3 linked regions of the Drosophila melanogaster genome follow. The protein of the gene in region 3 purifies or fractionates together with the protein of the main gene of each other region. This does not show direct contact. Each region holds a gene or a part of one and is shown on either strand. Other genes may lie near its edges.

What was found. The genes of interacting proteins can lie anywhere in the genome.
Region 1: the proteins of Cyt-c1 (region 3) and UQCR-11 fractionate together in Drosophila melanogaster (co-fractionation; one study listed by BioGRID). This does not show direct contact.
Region 2: the proteins of Cyt-c1 (region 3) and UQCR-Q fractionate together in Drosophila melanogaster (co-fractionation; one study listed by BioGRID). This does not show direct contact.

Annotation. Positions count from the first base shown.
Region 1 is NT_037436.4:25,119,038-25,122,676, forward strand, and holds UQCR-11 (Ubiquinol-cytochrome c reductase 11 kDa subunit), read left to right. Parts: upstream 1-1,711; 5' UTR 1,712-1,781; intron 1,782-1,840; 5' UTR 1,841-1,864; coding exon 1,865-1,948; intron 1,949-2,006; coding exon 2,007-2,180; 3' UTR 2,181-2,334; downstream 2,335-3,639.
Region 2 is NT_037436.4:17,473,091-17,477,429, reverse strand, and holds UQCR-Q (Ubiquinol-cytochrome c reductase ubiquinone-binding protein), read right to left. Parts: upstream 2,382-4,339; 5' UTR 2,295-2,381; intron 2,211-2,294; exon of another isoform or gene 2,106-2,210; coding exon of another isoform or gene 2,043-2,105; exon of another isoform or gene 2,021-2,042; 5' UTR 2,011-2,020; coding exon 1,836-2,010; intron 1,780-1,835; coding exon 1,685-1,779; 3' UTR 1,306-1,684; downstream 1-1,305. Other genes in the region: CG34250 (uncharacterized protein), read right to left, coding at 804-861, 959-1,119; CG46525 (uncharacterized protein), read right to left, coding at 2,043-2,105; SecCl (secretory chloride channel), read right to left, coding at 3,052-3,294, 3,359-3,738, 3,984-4,139, 4,195-4,339.
Region 3 is NT_037436.4:5,357,655-5,363,977, reverse strand, and holds Cyt-c1 (cytochrome c1), read right to left. Parts: upstream 3,768-6,323; 5' UTR 3,639-3,767; coding exon 3,567-3,638; intron 3,287-3,566; coding exon 3,239-3,286; intron 3,102-3,238; coding exon 2,953-3,101; intron 2,486-2,952; coding exon 2,353-2,485; intron 2,284-2,352; coding exon 1,990-2,283; intron 1,876-1,989; coding exon 1,648-1,875; 3' UTR 1,180-1,647; downstream 1-1,179. Other genes in the region: Uev1A (Ubiquitin-conjugating enzyme variant 1A), read left to right, coding at 1-103; Klp64D (Kinesin-like protein at 64D), read left to right, coding at 4,724-6,323.

The DNA.
Region 1 (3,639 bases), about 20 Mb from region 3:
GAGCTTATTAGTTAAACAGTATTAGTTTTGTAAATTTCTAACGGTATTCCTAAAAACTTTTTGCCACGCCCACAAACCGCCAAAAACTGCCTCGCCCACACTTTTTAAAAATGTTTTTATATTATTTCGTATTAATATTAGTCTTTTATCGATTTTGCAAAAAAAAAAGTTTTGCCATGCCCACTCTAGCGTGAACAAACCGCCCAAAACCGACCTTACCATTGAAAAATGTTTGATTCTTCTTCGTTTTATTGTTTGTCTTCCGGCATTTTAATCGGCATACCAAAGACACTTTGGTCACGCAAACACAAACAAAACGCCCAAAACACACTTTTGAACCATTTTAGGTTTTCCTCATTTTTTAAAATTATTCTAGTGTCTTTGTTTACTCATGCGTCTCTAATGTCTCGAATAAACTTTGCAAAGAAGCATCGAATCTATTTTCTGTGCTTAGAAAAGGGACATATGGCGCGGTTCTGTAGGATTGATGGAATTTAGTTTACTGTGGGCTTACAATCCTTAACTGGTCTGCTATGGAAGAATTACGAGGTGAGGCTGACAGGCAGCTATAATATGAGGGTCATCAACATTGACAGCATACAGAGAAATTGAAAATGGCTATGTCAAGATGATACGTACAGTGACAGTGACAGTGTCTGCCACACTTCGGTGTCGAAAATCCAAATGAACCTACCAAAATACGTATAATCTACGTAATCTATAATGACGCAGCCAAGTCCCGGGATTAGGAGCTGCTTCAAGGTTTCTTGCAGTACACGTTCCTGTCGGAAGTGTGTGTACTTCAGGGAAGCAGCAGTCGGGGTCTAAAGATGGCCCAGGAATTGTCGACAGTCGCACTGAGGAATTTTATAAGCTGCCGTGGACCGGTGGCCAGATTGAGGAGTCAAAACGGAGAAGATGTAGAACGAACTGTCATCAAATTAAATGGAATGAAAATTTCAATGCCGGGCAGGAGGCGTATGCGAGCGGATGGTCCACGGGTTGAAGAAGGTACTCGCGCATACTAATAAAAAAATTAAGGTTAGTTTCAAATATTTTAGGTCTTTTTATTCTGCTTTTTACCACACTATGGTTCCTATTCAAATACAAATTACAACAACTATTCAATACAAATTTTATTTGTGTGTGTAATTTTATAGAGAACACGCATAGTTGTATATATCAATAAAGAAGTTTTCGCATCAGTTTTATGAAAACTTTCTATCACTTAAGCATATATTTATTTGATTGCTTTTAATTAGTTATTGTTTAAAAACTAGAGCAAAAAGAACCAAAAAGACAGAGAAGACAACTCTGGCCCACAACGAATTAGTAATTATTAATTTTCAGTAGATATTTTATCCACTTTTTTTATCAGCTTTTAGCTGATTGAATTTCGTTTTAAAAACACCACGTCATTTTTAAATGTTTGCCTCCAAAAACATGTATCAAGGGAATCAGGAAAAAATTATGAAAAGTTTTAAATAAAAGTTTATAGCCTAAAAAAAATTATCTGACCCCCGTCACGGCGGACAACTGGCCAAAAATTATTTTAATTGCTTTGATTGTACCTTGTGTGAACAGATTTTAACATCTAGGTAAAATTGCAAACGGTTCATAAAGATGTATTCTATTGGGGCTAGGCTATAAGCTTAGCTAATTGATATATATGCATAAAATAATCTGTTTTTGTTGGTCTGGCCCTCATAATTCAGGCATACATAAAATACATTGTGATTGCATCATAGCGGTCTTAAAGGTTATAGTTATTTTTCAAAAATGTAATTTACGTTCATATTCATAAAATTTGGTACTATATATGTTTTTGAATTCTGACTAGTTTATTCTCTTTTTAGCATTAATAATGGCTTTTAGGAACTGGTTTTCGCTTCCCGCCGTCAGAGCTGATGACGAAGAGGACTTAGTTGACCCTCAAGCAGTTTTAAGGGTAAAAAAGATTTCTTTACATCATTTAATATAACACTAAACTGATTTTTATGCAACAGGAAAAATGTCAAGCTAAAGGTCACATAGAATCCTTGTACAATAAGTACCAAGAGTGCAATGATCGTGTTAATGGGCGATCCAAAACAACTGAGACTTGCATCGAAGAATTATTTGACTATGTTGCTGAGTTAGATCATTGCGTTTCGCACAGTCTTTTTACAAAGCTTAAGTAAATACCATTAAAGTCAATTCCATTAAAGGGAAGGGCAGTGCTTAAAAATAAGAACATAAATAAACAAATCTCTTTATCGAGTTTTATACGTGTTTTGTGCCTTTTGGTGATCAGAACCTTTTAGAAGCGAAATTGGGTAGGTAATACTACACTAGTGGGCATAAGTATTTGCACGCCTTTGTTTTAATACTAAACCAAGGGTATTCTATTAAGTTGAGGGCTGGAATTTGAGGTGGCCAATCCAATGTTTTTATGCAAACATTTTTCAGAAACAGTAATCAGTTTGGTCTTATAACAGGGAGCATTATCATGCTGGAGTATGAAGGACTCTCCAATCAATTCATCATCATTATTATTAAGGACATCTAAATATTTTATTTGATTCATGTGTCCATCAACAGGAACCAAATCTCCCAAGACAGTGAAGGCTACGCATCCCCAAAACATAACAGACCCTACTGACTATTCTTTGACATTCTGGTGCCAGTTTTTTTCGATATTCCGATATCGAATTTTCGAAATTTAAAAGGTGGAACCATTTGCCCATGTTTTCCATTGCCAGCGCTTATGCAATGCATTTGCGCTGCAAATGTGTCTGTACGTATGTATATATTTATAATACATTGAAGTATTTGTATTGAGTAAAGTAATATGAGTTTACTGAGTGGGCTTCTTTTTTATTTTAGTTTATTTTTATTGATATTGTTTTCATTAAGTGATGCCATCAACTATGAATAAAAAAGTTTTAACGTGTAATTATGAACTACTTGTTTTTTGTTTAGTTACTTAATTTCATAACAAAACTATCTCCCACTGCTATTTTTATTTTGTTATGTGTAAGTCATTATTTTCATTATTCTTTCATTTATACTCTTCATGCATAGTTCTAGTTTTCTTATATGGTACTTCCAATCTTCATTTACTTTCCTTCTTTCCTATATGATAAATCGGCTGCTCTGCCAAAAACTATATGGAAACTATAGAACGGGTTGTATAAAACAATGTACGAAATTCTGAAGCCACAGGTCCCAATCAGTTTTATCAACTGATATGTATTCAACTGATAAGTTTTCAGATGGTGGTGAGCGGTAAATGTTAAATTTTTAATTTTAAAATTTTTGCAAAAATCGTTGATTATTGAGTGCTTATACTCTGTACCCATGAACGTTTTCAATGGACCGTAAGTCAGGATAAAGGATTCGAAAATTGAATTAGCGACTTGCGATCTTATATAGTATTGGTATTGCAACTAAATATTTAGTTAAGTTACAAATAAAGGTGACTGAAGACTCATTACCATTATCCGACTTTGGTAGAGGAGGACCTATATTACCCACTATTACTTTGTCGAAAGCATAGGGGGTTTCTGTTATTGGGGTTTTCCGTATGCTTAGTTATTTTATTTTTTTGCATTTTAGACATTTCTTGTTGTAGGTTCTGATTTCTTTAGACATACCTTC
Region 2 (4,339 bases), about 12 Mb from region 3:
ATGTAACTTTTTTGTTTATATTAGTAAGCTGTGAAGTTAGGTAGATTTTCAGGCTATATGAAGGATTAGACAGTTGCAGGACTATCAGTTGATGTTTAAGAATATTTATGGGATCCTTCATGTTCGTATAAGCAACACTAATCAGAAGAATAGGTAGACTTGTCTCAGTGGCTTATCCGAGGGCTTAAAGGTAGTGCTGCTATTTCTAGCCCTGCAATCAAGTCACGTTCGCTGGGTGTTCTAATGCAATATTTTAGCATAAGAGCACGTACCGCAGTATTGCATAAATTCTGAAAGTGCCGGGCAATGAGTCAGTACGGGATTGCAGAATGGAGCCAGCTGAAGTCGGGCGTCTATTGAATTCTAATGCTGCACCAGGAAGTGCGTGCAGACATTGGGCAATCAATCGCCGGTCAATTGGAATCGTTTGTGGATAGCAATTGAGTGTGATTGGATATGGCTTCTACTCCGGCAATTGGGGCAAAAGTTCAACAGTTTTTGGATGAGAATGCCTGTTCCAAGTAGGACTTACTTCGAGTATTCGAATAACCTATCTTATCGCAAGACAGCTTGCCAAGAATCACAGTCGCCTGATGATGAAATTAACAAATTCTGGGCTCTATTTTTTTCTTCTTTTTTTTTGCACGATCCGTGGAAGTCTCGGGGGCAGTCAAACCAGTTCACCCGGCCTTCGAAAACAATTATATTTTTGGGGTTGGGCGTGTTGTTGTGCAAACACCTACGAAATAACACGATGACCCTGAGACCGAAAAAAGCACGAGTACGTTCTAGCACCCAAAATATTACACATATAATGTACGTGACGTCACTGCCTCGAGGAGTGCTCCAAAAACCATAGAACTGAAACAAGATGCAAGGTGGCTTGTGGTAGTTATTATTAATCCTTAGCGTACATTACATTATGAGATATATTAAACACTAAACTGGATCCATCTACGTGACAGAAAAGCTGCGAAAATTGTTTTTCAGCAGCATGACCACGAAGAAAATGCCCACGGCAATCGACAAAAGCTGCACGTTGACCACCTTTGAGTCCACCAGGGCCTGTAGCATGTTGTGGATACTTTCGCTGCGCACTTCGTTACCGCAGCAGTCCATTAATGCACTAATATCGGATCAATAACCAATTAGAACGCCAATATTTTGCTTGCAAACAGCTGTGCGGTGGCTAGAGGTGGGGCTATTTACTTTTCTCACTCATCGATTGTTTCGGGTGACTTTCGATGATTGATTCTCTGCAACTCTAGCGGGTGACTATCAATGCTAAGACCGTTACCGAATATTAAAAACAAGTAAAATTTTTATTTTATTATTAAAACGTAATATATTGCCTCCATGTCGTGTTTTTTCTTTGAAATTCTCATCATATGAATTTTTTGTTATTTTATTTTGAGACATTGCAGGGCGAGATAGCTTGGACTCAAACCAAGACTGGGGAACAGCTGATGCAGCTGCTCATCCAGAAAAACAAATTCTCTCTAGAATTGTTTAGCAAACAGAGCAATAAAACTGATAAAATAGAACATAAAATTATCCCATGTGTAACGTATGAGTACAAAGCCTTTGGTGTTTAGCCTTCCAGCAACCGAAACACACAACTCTCTTGAACTGTGGGTTTAGTTTTATTAATTAGTTTAACATAACTATCTGCTAGTTGGGACGCTTATTCGTCGTTCGCGTAGTCAGCGGGGTTCTTGCGCAGCAGGGCGGTGTGCTTGCGTTCGGTCAGATCGTAGATCAGGTATCCCACGATGAAGGCTGAAAAATTGGGTATTAGAATACGATTCGACGGGAATCCTGAGCGATTTACTTACGGGGAGTAACGATGAAGACGTTGGAGCGGAAGCGACGCACCATGTTGGGCAGTCCCTTGCTGATCGCTCCAGCGAAGGCGCGCTGCTCGAAGGGCGACAGCTTGTAGGTGACGATGCCGTGCACCTTGGCCAAGTTGCCAAAATGCTGGCCATTCAGGATCGAGGATAGACGCATGGTTGTGGGGCTGCGGATGGGGAAAGCTTTGATTAGCAACCGCAGAGGAAGTGCACCAGGATTTGTATGAAGACACAGATCGTTATTATAAACATTATGGCCTAGGTGGTGCTCCTATATTTGCTGCACCCGGAGGTTATGTAATTTTCGCACTGCTCCGCGGATGAAGGCGGCCGAGTACGTCTAACACTGGGCGCGATCTCTGCACTTTTGGCAGCCCATAATTGTGCATATTTTTAGAGCCAGCACCTGCCATTGTACCGATTATGATGCCAAATTTTTACCTTGAAATTCGACTTTTACGCTGCAATTTCCTCTCGACTCGTCTCAACCAGTGTGACCGTGGACGGGCCGCTTGAACATACCAAGCAGTTAGGCTTTATTTTTGAAAAATGTCCTAAAAGTGCCGCTTTTTAAGATTGATGTCTTGGACAGAAGCTAAGTGCAGGCCACCACCAGAATGTGTAACTTTGTAGACTTTCAGCGTGGACTTGAACCTAATTTGTGTGGATAGCGGATCTTTAAACTATTAGTGGATTCTTATTAAAATATAACAATAAAATAATGTAAAACATAATTGCTTACCTTTGCCGTAATAAAATATGTGAGCGGCTTAAAAACTTAAATTTCGTGAACGAAAAGATTATATTTATTCAAATTAATAGACAGAATAGACACATGGAATTGTAAAATCGAGGGCTACTTATCTTTTTAACTTCATTTTCTGTGATTAGGCATACAAAGTATTCAAACTTGCCCACTAAAGATGGCACATTCATCTCAATATATGTAAAATATCATATAAATAATTTTATTGTATTCAAAATGCATTAGATTAAAATGAGTTGTCAAGCAAGAATACTTTTCCTGCCATTATTAGCCTTTTATACGAATGTTGAGATATAGTTTATACCTTTATTAATGATTAACATTTATACAGCTATGAGATGATGCATCTTACACTTTAACAATTATTTGCGCGATCAGGACTACGCAAATAGACAAGATTTCACATAAACGGCGGCATCTGCCTACATCCGCTTACAAAACATAGACGAAGGTCCAATACAGAGCGTTGAAGGCGAGGAACATGGCCGGAAAAAGAAATCGCGACCGCCGGTCTATCCACATGGCGATCTCCTGCGGTGTCATGGTGGTAAAGGTGGGCGGCGTGTCCTTTTTATCCTTGTCCACATCCACGATATGATCGTTGTTCGTACGCGCACTGCAGATAGACACTGTATCTGCCTCGGCGCACTCCGTTCTTATGATGGGTAAATTGGGCTAAGGACATGAGAAATGTTAAAATACAGAAAGCTCATGAAAGACATCGATCTGGAGTACTTACATGCACTGTCAAATAGTTGTTGAAGCCCTGATTCACAGTGCCATTGCCATTGCGCACGCTCTCCGTGCTGGAAACAATGTTGTCCAAACTGGAACACGATCTAGCCCTGGACTCGTTGCTCAAACTTCCGCCAATTTGACGGCGGGCCGGTCGTGGTGTCAATGTGGATTTTATGATGTACTTGCTGTTGACCTTCTTCAGCTCAATGTTCTCCTTGCGGCGCCAAATGGTGTTGACAAAGGCAAACTCCACCAGGCTGCCGAAGATGAAGAAGGTGCAGCCCAGGAACCACACCTCCGACACCTTTATGTAGCTCACCTTGGGCAGGTTCTTGCTCTGCGATGAGGAAAGCGTGATGAACGACAACATGGTGCTGGTTCCTAAGAGCATTGGATATTAGTTACAAGTGAGTCATATCATAATCATTTCGAGTTACTAAATTCTTTCTAAGATGTTGTAATTATTCCTTTAATTTAAGCAATCATTTATTCTATGACTCAACATGACGTATGCGCAATGTTCTAAATGAATATAACACATACGCACTGTGTTGCAGGTCAACAAATTAATTATGGATTTCGAATACGAAATGTTGCTTAAGTTAATAGTATTTAAATGTAATTACCCAGCATAATCCTTGGAGGAGATGCGTCCGCCTGAAGCCAGAAGGACACCCAAGAGATGGCCACGATCATCATGGAGGGCAGGTAATAGTCGAGCAAATAGAAGCCAATTTCTCGCTTCAGATTGACCGTAAAGCTCAGCGAACTATAGTTACCAGCTGCAAGGAAACAGTATTAAGAAATATTCCTCCAACAAACACCTCGTATGCTAACCAAAAGCTCCATGCCGCAGATTGTCCCCATCCGACTGCACAATCGTAGTGTTGTGCCAGAACTGGGCCATATTGTACTCAGTGAGCCTCATTTCCGGGTCAAAGGAGATGGGCGTGTGCGGCTCCCACTCCAGAATCAAATCGGA
Region 3 (6,323 bases):
TCGCGAGTACAATATAAAAACGATGCTGCAGGAAATCCGTAGGATTATGACCATGAAAGAGAACCTGAAGCTGGCACAGCCGCCAGAAGGTAGCTGTTTTTAGTCGACAACATCCGTTAGCAACACCAGCAGCAGCTGCAACAGCATCGAATGCAACGCGAGCGGGAGCAGCATCCACACCCAGTAAGAGCCGGAAAACGAACCACCATCATCAGTCCAAAAGTCCAAGACCAAGGTGGCCACACGTGCGTGGAATTAAAAAGAGATTGTGTGGCGGCTGCTCCGCCGAGTTGCCATCGGTGGCAGCGTATGCTTATTAATGAACGTAATAAAGATCGAGTGCGGTTATTGTGGCAAGAACAACAACCAAATGCAAGCTATATACTATAAGTAAAGGGAACAGCAGCGAAAAATGCGATAGGAGCGTCACTATGAAGAGGTCGTCGTCGTCCCTTCCGTCATGAACTATGTCATCGTGTTTGGTTACCTTACTCTTCTTACTACTTCAACTTCAGTCCCCAAACAAAACGAAACGAAAATATGAGAACTTCTTTTGAATAAGAAATAAAACAGCAGCAAAAGAAACAAGTTAAATGCCTGAATGTTTCAGATTCAAAACTTCAAATCGAAAATTCGTAAACTAATCGAACAGAAAAGTAATGCATAACAATGATAACGATTAATCAAGATCACAGCGTGAGATCCGAGCGTAATTATTGTTTTTTTTTGCCTAAACTAAAAATTTATTAATTATATACATAAAGCAAAATATATATTAATTTAAATAAAACCAACATGTCGAACACAATTTTTGTAGACGGCGCCAGTACGAACGTTTTTTTTTTTTGTTTATCATTGATGAAGCGATTTTGTAGTTGATTTTATATTCTATTCTTTCGAAAATCTTCCTCCCGAATCGCTTGGGACGAGGGACGCGATTTATAATCATTGAATTGTGGAAATTATAGATATATATATATATATATAGAAACACACACACACTAAGCCGATGAGCAAATCGAGCGGACAGAACGATGAACGATGATTAAAATAATACTTTAATTTAAGCTTCTAAATAAAACAATTAATCCAATAAAACGTAGTGTATCCATGTAATCTAGTGGGGTTACTTAAAAACTTATAAACAAAACAAAATCAAGTAACAAATTGAAACATTTTGATGTCCCGCCTAGAAATGATTTTCCAACCAACCATCATTTCCGTTTATTTGTCAATTGTTTATTGTTTTAAATACATAATTGATTTATCGATTCTATACACAATCAATGTCACATTATCCATCAATCATTTCGCTAGGCTCCTGTAGTCTTTGTAGCCTCAATCCCCCGCTCATTGAATCTTCCGATCCGATCTTTGTTTGGTTACCATCAGTAGGTTACCAAGGATGTTTTAGATTTAGCTATTTAGTTTTATTTTGAATCGTTTGGTTGGCTGGCTCTCGCATATTGGGATAGTATTTGTGTTTATATTTTTCAGCGGAGAGAACATTGACTTGGTGGTTGCGGATGTTGCTTGTTCACTTGTGTGTGGTTTTGGTTTTTGCTTAAAATTGATTTATCTTTATTAGTCGGTAAAGCCGCGATAACACTGCATTTCTTCACACCATCAAAATCAAATTCAAACATTCTACTTCTCCTTGGGCACGAACACAATCTTCCGCGACTTGAGCGACGACCACTTGTGCCGCTTAATGTAATACGAGATGACGGTCAGGAAGCCAAGGATGCCAATCACCTTGATCAGCAGCTGCTTGCGATCGTCGTGCTCCGGCTCGGAAGTCCACTTCAGGAAAGTGGCCACGTCCTTGGCCAGCTGGCTCTGCGTCGGCGGTGTGCCGTCCTCGTACTCGATGACCTGGAAAGGGGATAATCATTAAAGATTGCAATCGTGTTCTCTTATATCGTTTTCAAATCATTAGTTTCTTTCTGAGAAGGAAAATATAGAACTAGTATTTGATCAGCCACCCACCTCGTTGTACAAAACCTGCGCCATGGAAATGGCACCGCCCGGGAAGTACGGGTTGAAGTACTGACCCTCGCGCAGCACCACTCCGGCAGGAGCATCATGGTAGCCCGTGAGCAGCGAGAAGATGTAATCCTCTCCGCCCTTGCGGGCCGACACGATGTAGCTCAGATCCGGAGGATAAGCACCGTTGTTGGCAGCACGGGCCGCCTCCTCGTTGGGATACGGCGATGGGAAGTAGTCCGACAGCTTGCCAGGACGAGTGTAGTAGTTGCCGGTATCATCGGGACCGTCCTTGACCTGTAACGGGGACATTCAAATCAATTAGGAAACATTTAGATCTAGAAATCTAAAAATTCGAATACCCACCGTGATCTGCTCGGCTTCAGCCTTAGCCTCGGCTTCGGTGTGGGTGACACCAACCAGATTGCGGTAGGCAATGTATTGCATCGAGTGGCAGGCGGAGCACACCTGCTTGTACACCTCGTAGCCGCGACGAACGCTGAAAGTAGGAATTGAGATGATGTTACTAACTGGATAGCAGGGTCAGTGGGCAAATGCCATCTTATATGCAGATACTACAAAACATTCTTTAATATCTTTAATTTTAACTAAAATCCCCATTTAACAATCCATTAATCTTCTATGTTCTGCTAGTTGCTGTTCTGATTAGCTTTTATGAGCAAAGTATTGTTGTTAATCTATAGTTGTTATCAGTTTTTAAAGATTACAGAAGATTTGCCGGGAAAATTGGCTACGTTTTCTAAATTGAATATGATATTTGTATTGGCGAGTTTGAGATAAAATAAAATACTTCAAACAAAATCTCTCTAATCATTAAAGAACTCTTTTTGAAATTTGACAGCAATCTAAACCAATTCACTAGAAATGCACTTAGTTAGCTCCACCACAGATGGAAATGCCCAGTTCCCGACCACTGATCAGTTTAACCGCCGTTTTTTGGATTACCTCTGGTGGTCCAAAGCGTCGAAGAGGCCCTTGTGGTTCCAGAGTTGCGCGGGGGAGTGCACCTCGCCGCCAGATGCCTGCACGGACTGCTCCAGGGCGTAGATAAGGGCGCCCACTCCGCCGGTGATTGCTCCCAAGGCGCCGATCAGCTGTTCGTGATGCACACACACGCACATACAGCCGCACACAGTCACCGAGAAGCAAACGCGTTTTGAGGTTAGGTCCGATCGGGTATTATGAAATGCGAAGTGGGGGAATATGTGAGATTCCTGACTAGCTGACTTACCTTCTTGTTGCCACTGGCCCAGCTGCCGGCGGAGGAGAGGTTCTTCGCCTGCAAAAAGAACGGATGTCATTTAGTTTGGATGTTCGGCCAAGGAGAGTAAGAATTTTTGCACGGAGTTACATAATTGGATTGTTCGGTTCGTATCCGAGTTCATTTAATCCCATTGGAATTGCGGATACCACTCACTGTGCCACCTAGAGTGCACCATTGGTCCTTGTATTTTATGTTTTACGGTATTATTTCATGTTTTTCTCCATCGGACACACGACTCCTTCAAGGTGCTGCGGTGGCTGTTGAAAAACTTGCATCCGCCGTTCACGATCTTTACCTGCTGCAGGCTGAGTGCTGGCGCGGATTTCAGCAATCTCAAGCCATGGAATCTTCGCAATGTCGCTGCCATGGTGGCCGGAGTTTTAATTTCTGCGTCGTCTGGTCGTTTAAGGAAACTCTGCGGGCAGCCAATCGCCAATCGAATCAATCTTTCAGTACCACTGCCACAACGTCTTCCTCTTCTTCGCTGCTCTCTCGCGGAGGTGGTGGTGGGCAACTCGCTCGTTTGCCAGCGAATCGGAATCGGCGGGGGCGATATTTTGGTATTTTTAAACAGATATTTTAATTTTATTTTATTATTATTTTTTTATTTACTGTATGATATTTATTTATAATATGATATTAATGTATGTATAATTTAAATAATACATTTAAAATATCACTTTTTATTTTTTTCTTTTTTAATAAATATTTGTTACACAGTGTACCTTAATTGCTTTTAGTGTTTTTTTTTTCTTTCATGTTCTTTATTATATCTTCGAATTTACGGTTTTCCAACTTGTTGATTCAAAATACTTCATAATCTAATTGGAACTACTTGTTGACATTAAGTTGGATTTTTTGATTTTTTAGAAACCACTTGATGATTTCATAAGATAAGTTGACAGAACAGCTCTAAAAACAGCTGCCTTAGCCTTAGCCAAATTTTTGGTTGCTGTTATGTAATTTTTCATGTTTCACTGCGCTGTTATCACAAAAAAAGATTTTAATTTTTATTATTGAATTCTTTTCGAAATATCTATAAAATTCTTAAAAGCCTTGAAAAAGGATTTTCAAAAAGTAAAAATAAGTACAATTATCGCAGTTCACAAAATAACCTTCGATTGCTTATATCACAGGTCAATATTATAATTTTATTTTTATTTTTGCTAATTGTTTTTATATATATATTATTTAAAAAAAAATATATAAAATTATTTTGTCTCACTGATGAATAGATTTTTCCGCTGGTCTGGCATCCTTCTCGCCCGTTTTTCGCACACTTATCGATAACAGCTGACCACCCGTTAATGATTCGCCAACAAAAAAAACCTAGCAACGCATAAACAAATGCGAGAAAAAACCCCCTTTATTGATTTCCACTAAGTGCGGTCAGCGCAAATAGTGGTTAATAGCTTTCACTAGACGAGGAATAAAGCCAGGACGTAGATCGCCATGCCGCAGGAGGAGGCAAATGCGGGAACAACGGCCCAACTCGATGACGAAATCGAGAATGTGCGTGTGGTGGTGCGAACGCGACCCATGGACAAAAATGAGTTGTCCGCGGGAGCGCTAAGTGCGATTTCGGTGGATAAGATCAACCGGGCCATTACGGTGATGAAACCGAATGCCACCGCCAATGAACCGCCGAAAACGTACTACTTCGACAATGTATTCGATGGTGGCTCCAATCAAATGGATCTCTATGTGGACACCGCTCGTCCGATTGTGGACAAGGTGCTGGAGGGCTATAATGGCACCATCTTGGCCTACGGACAAACGGGCACCGGCAAGACGTATACCATGTCGGGGAATCCGGATTCGCCGCAAACAAAGGGCATCATTCCGAATGCATTTGCGCACATCTTTGGTCACATTGCTAAGGCCAAGGAGAATCAGAAGTTCCTGGTGCGCGTCAGCTACATGGAGATCTATAACGAAGAGGTGCGGGATCTACTGGGCAAGGATGTGGGCAAGAGCCTGGAGGTCAAGGAGCGACCGGACATCGGTGTCTTTGTTAAGGATCTCAGTGGCTATGTGGTGCACAACGCCGATGATCTGGAGAACATCATGCGTTTGGGTAACAAAAATCGTGCCGTGGGAGCCACCAAAATGAACCAGGAGAGCTCCCGCTCCCATGCCATTTTCTCCATTACTGTGGAGAGAAGTGAGCTGGGCGAAGGTGATGTCCAGCACGTAAGGATGGGTAAACTACAGCTGGTGGATCTCGCCGGCTCCGAAAGGCAGTCGAAGACCCAGGCCAGTGGACAGAGACTTAAAGAGGCCACCAAGATTAATCTTTCGCTATCGGTGCTGGGAAATGTGATCAGTGCTTTGGTGGATGGAAAAAGCACCCACATACCGTATCGGAACTCCAAGTTAACTCGACTTCTGCAGGACTCCCTCGGTGGTAACTCCAAGACCGTCATGTGTGCCACCATTAGTCCAGCGGATAGCAATTATATGGAAACTATATCCACACTTCGCTATGCTAGTCGTGCTAAGAATATCCAAAATCGCATGCACATCAATGAGGAACCCAAGGATGCTTTGCTTCGTCACTTTCAGGAGGAGATTGCCCGACTTCGCAAGCAATTGGAGGAGGGCGACAGCTTGGAGGAGGAGCCACCGAGCTCCGAAGAGGAGGAGGATACAGCAGATGACGAACTGGAGGCACCACTGGAGATCGAATTGGAATCATCAACGATCCAGGCTGTGGAGAAAAAACCCAAGAAGAAGCGCGAGAAAACCGATGCCGAAAAGGAGGAACTGGCCAAGCGCAAAAACGAGCATCAGAAGGAAATCGAGCATGCTAAGACGGAGCAGGAAACACTTCGCAATAAACTAGTCTCATTGGAAGGTAAAATTCTCGTTGGCGGCGAGAATCTGCTGGAGAAAGCCCAGACGCAAGAGCTGCTGCTAGAGCAATCCATTGCGGAGCTGGAACAACATGAAAAGTCCGAGGAGGCGCTGAAGCAAACTCTACAGCAAAAGGCCACCGAAAGGATTGACATTGAGGAGCGTTACTCCACGCTTCAAGATGCCAGCACTGGCA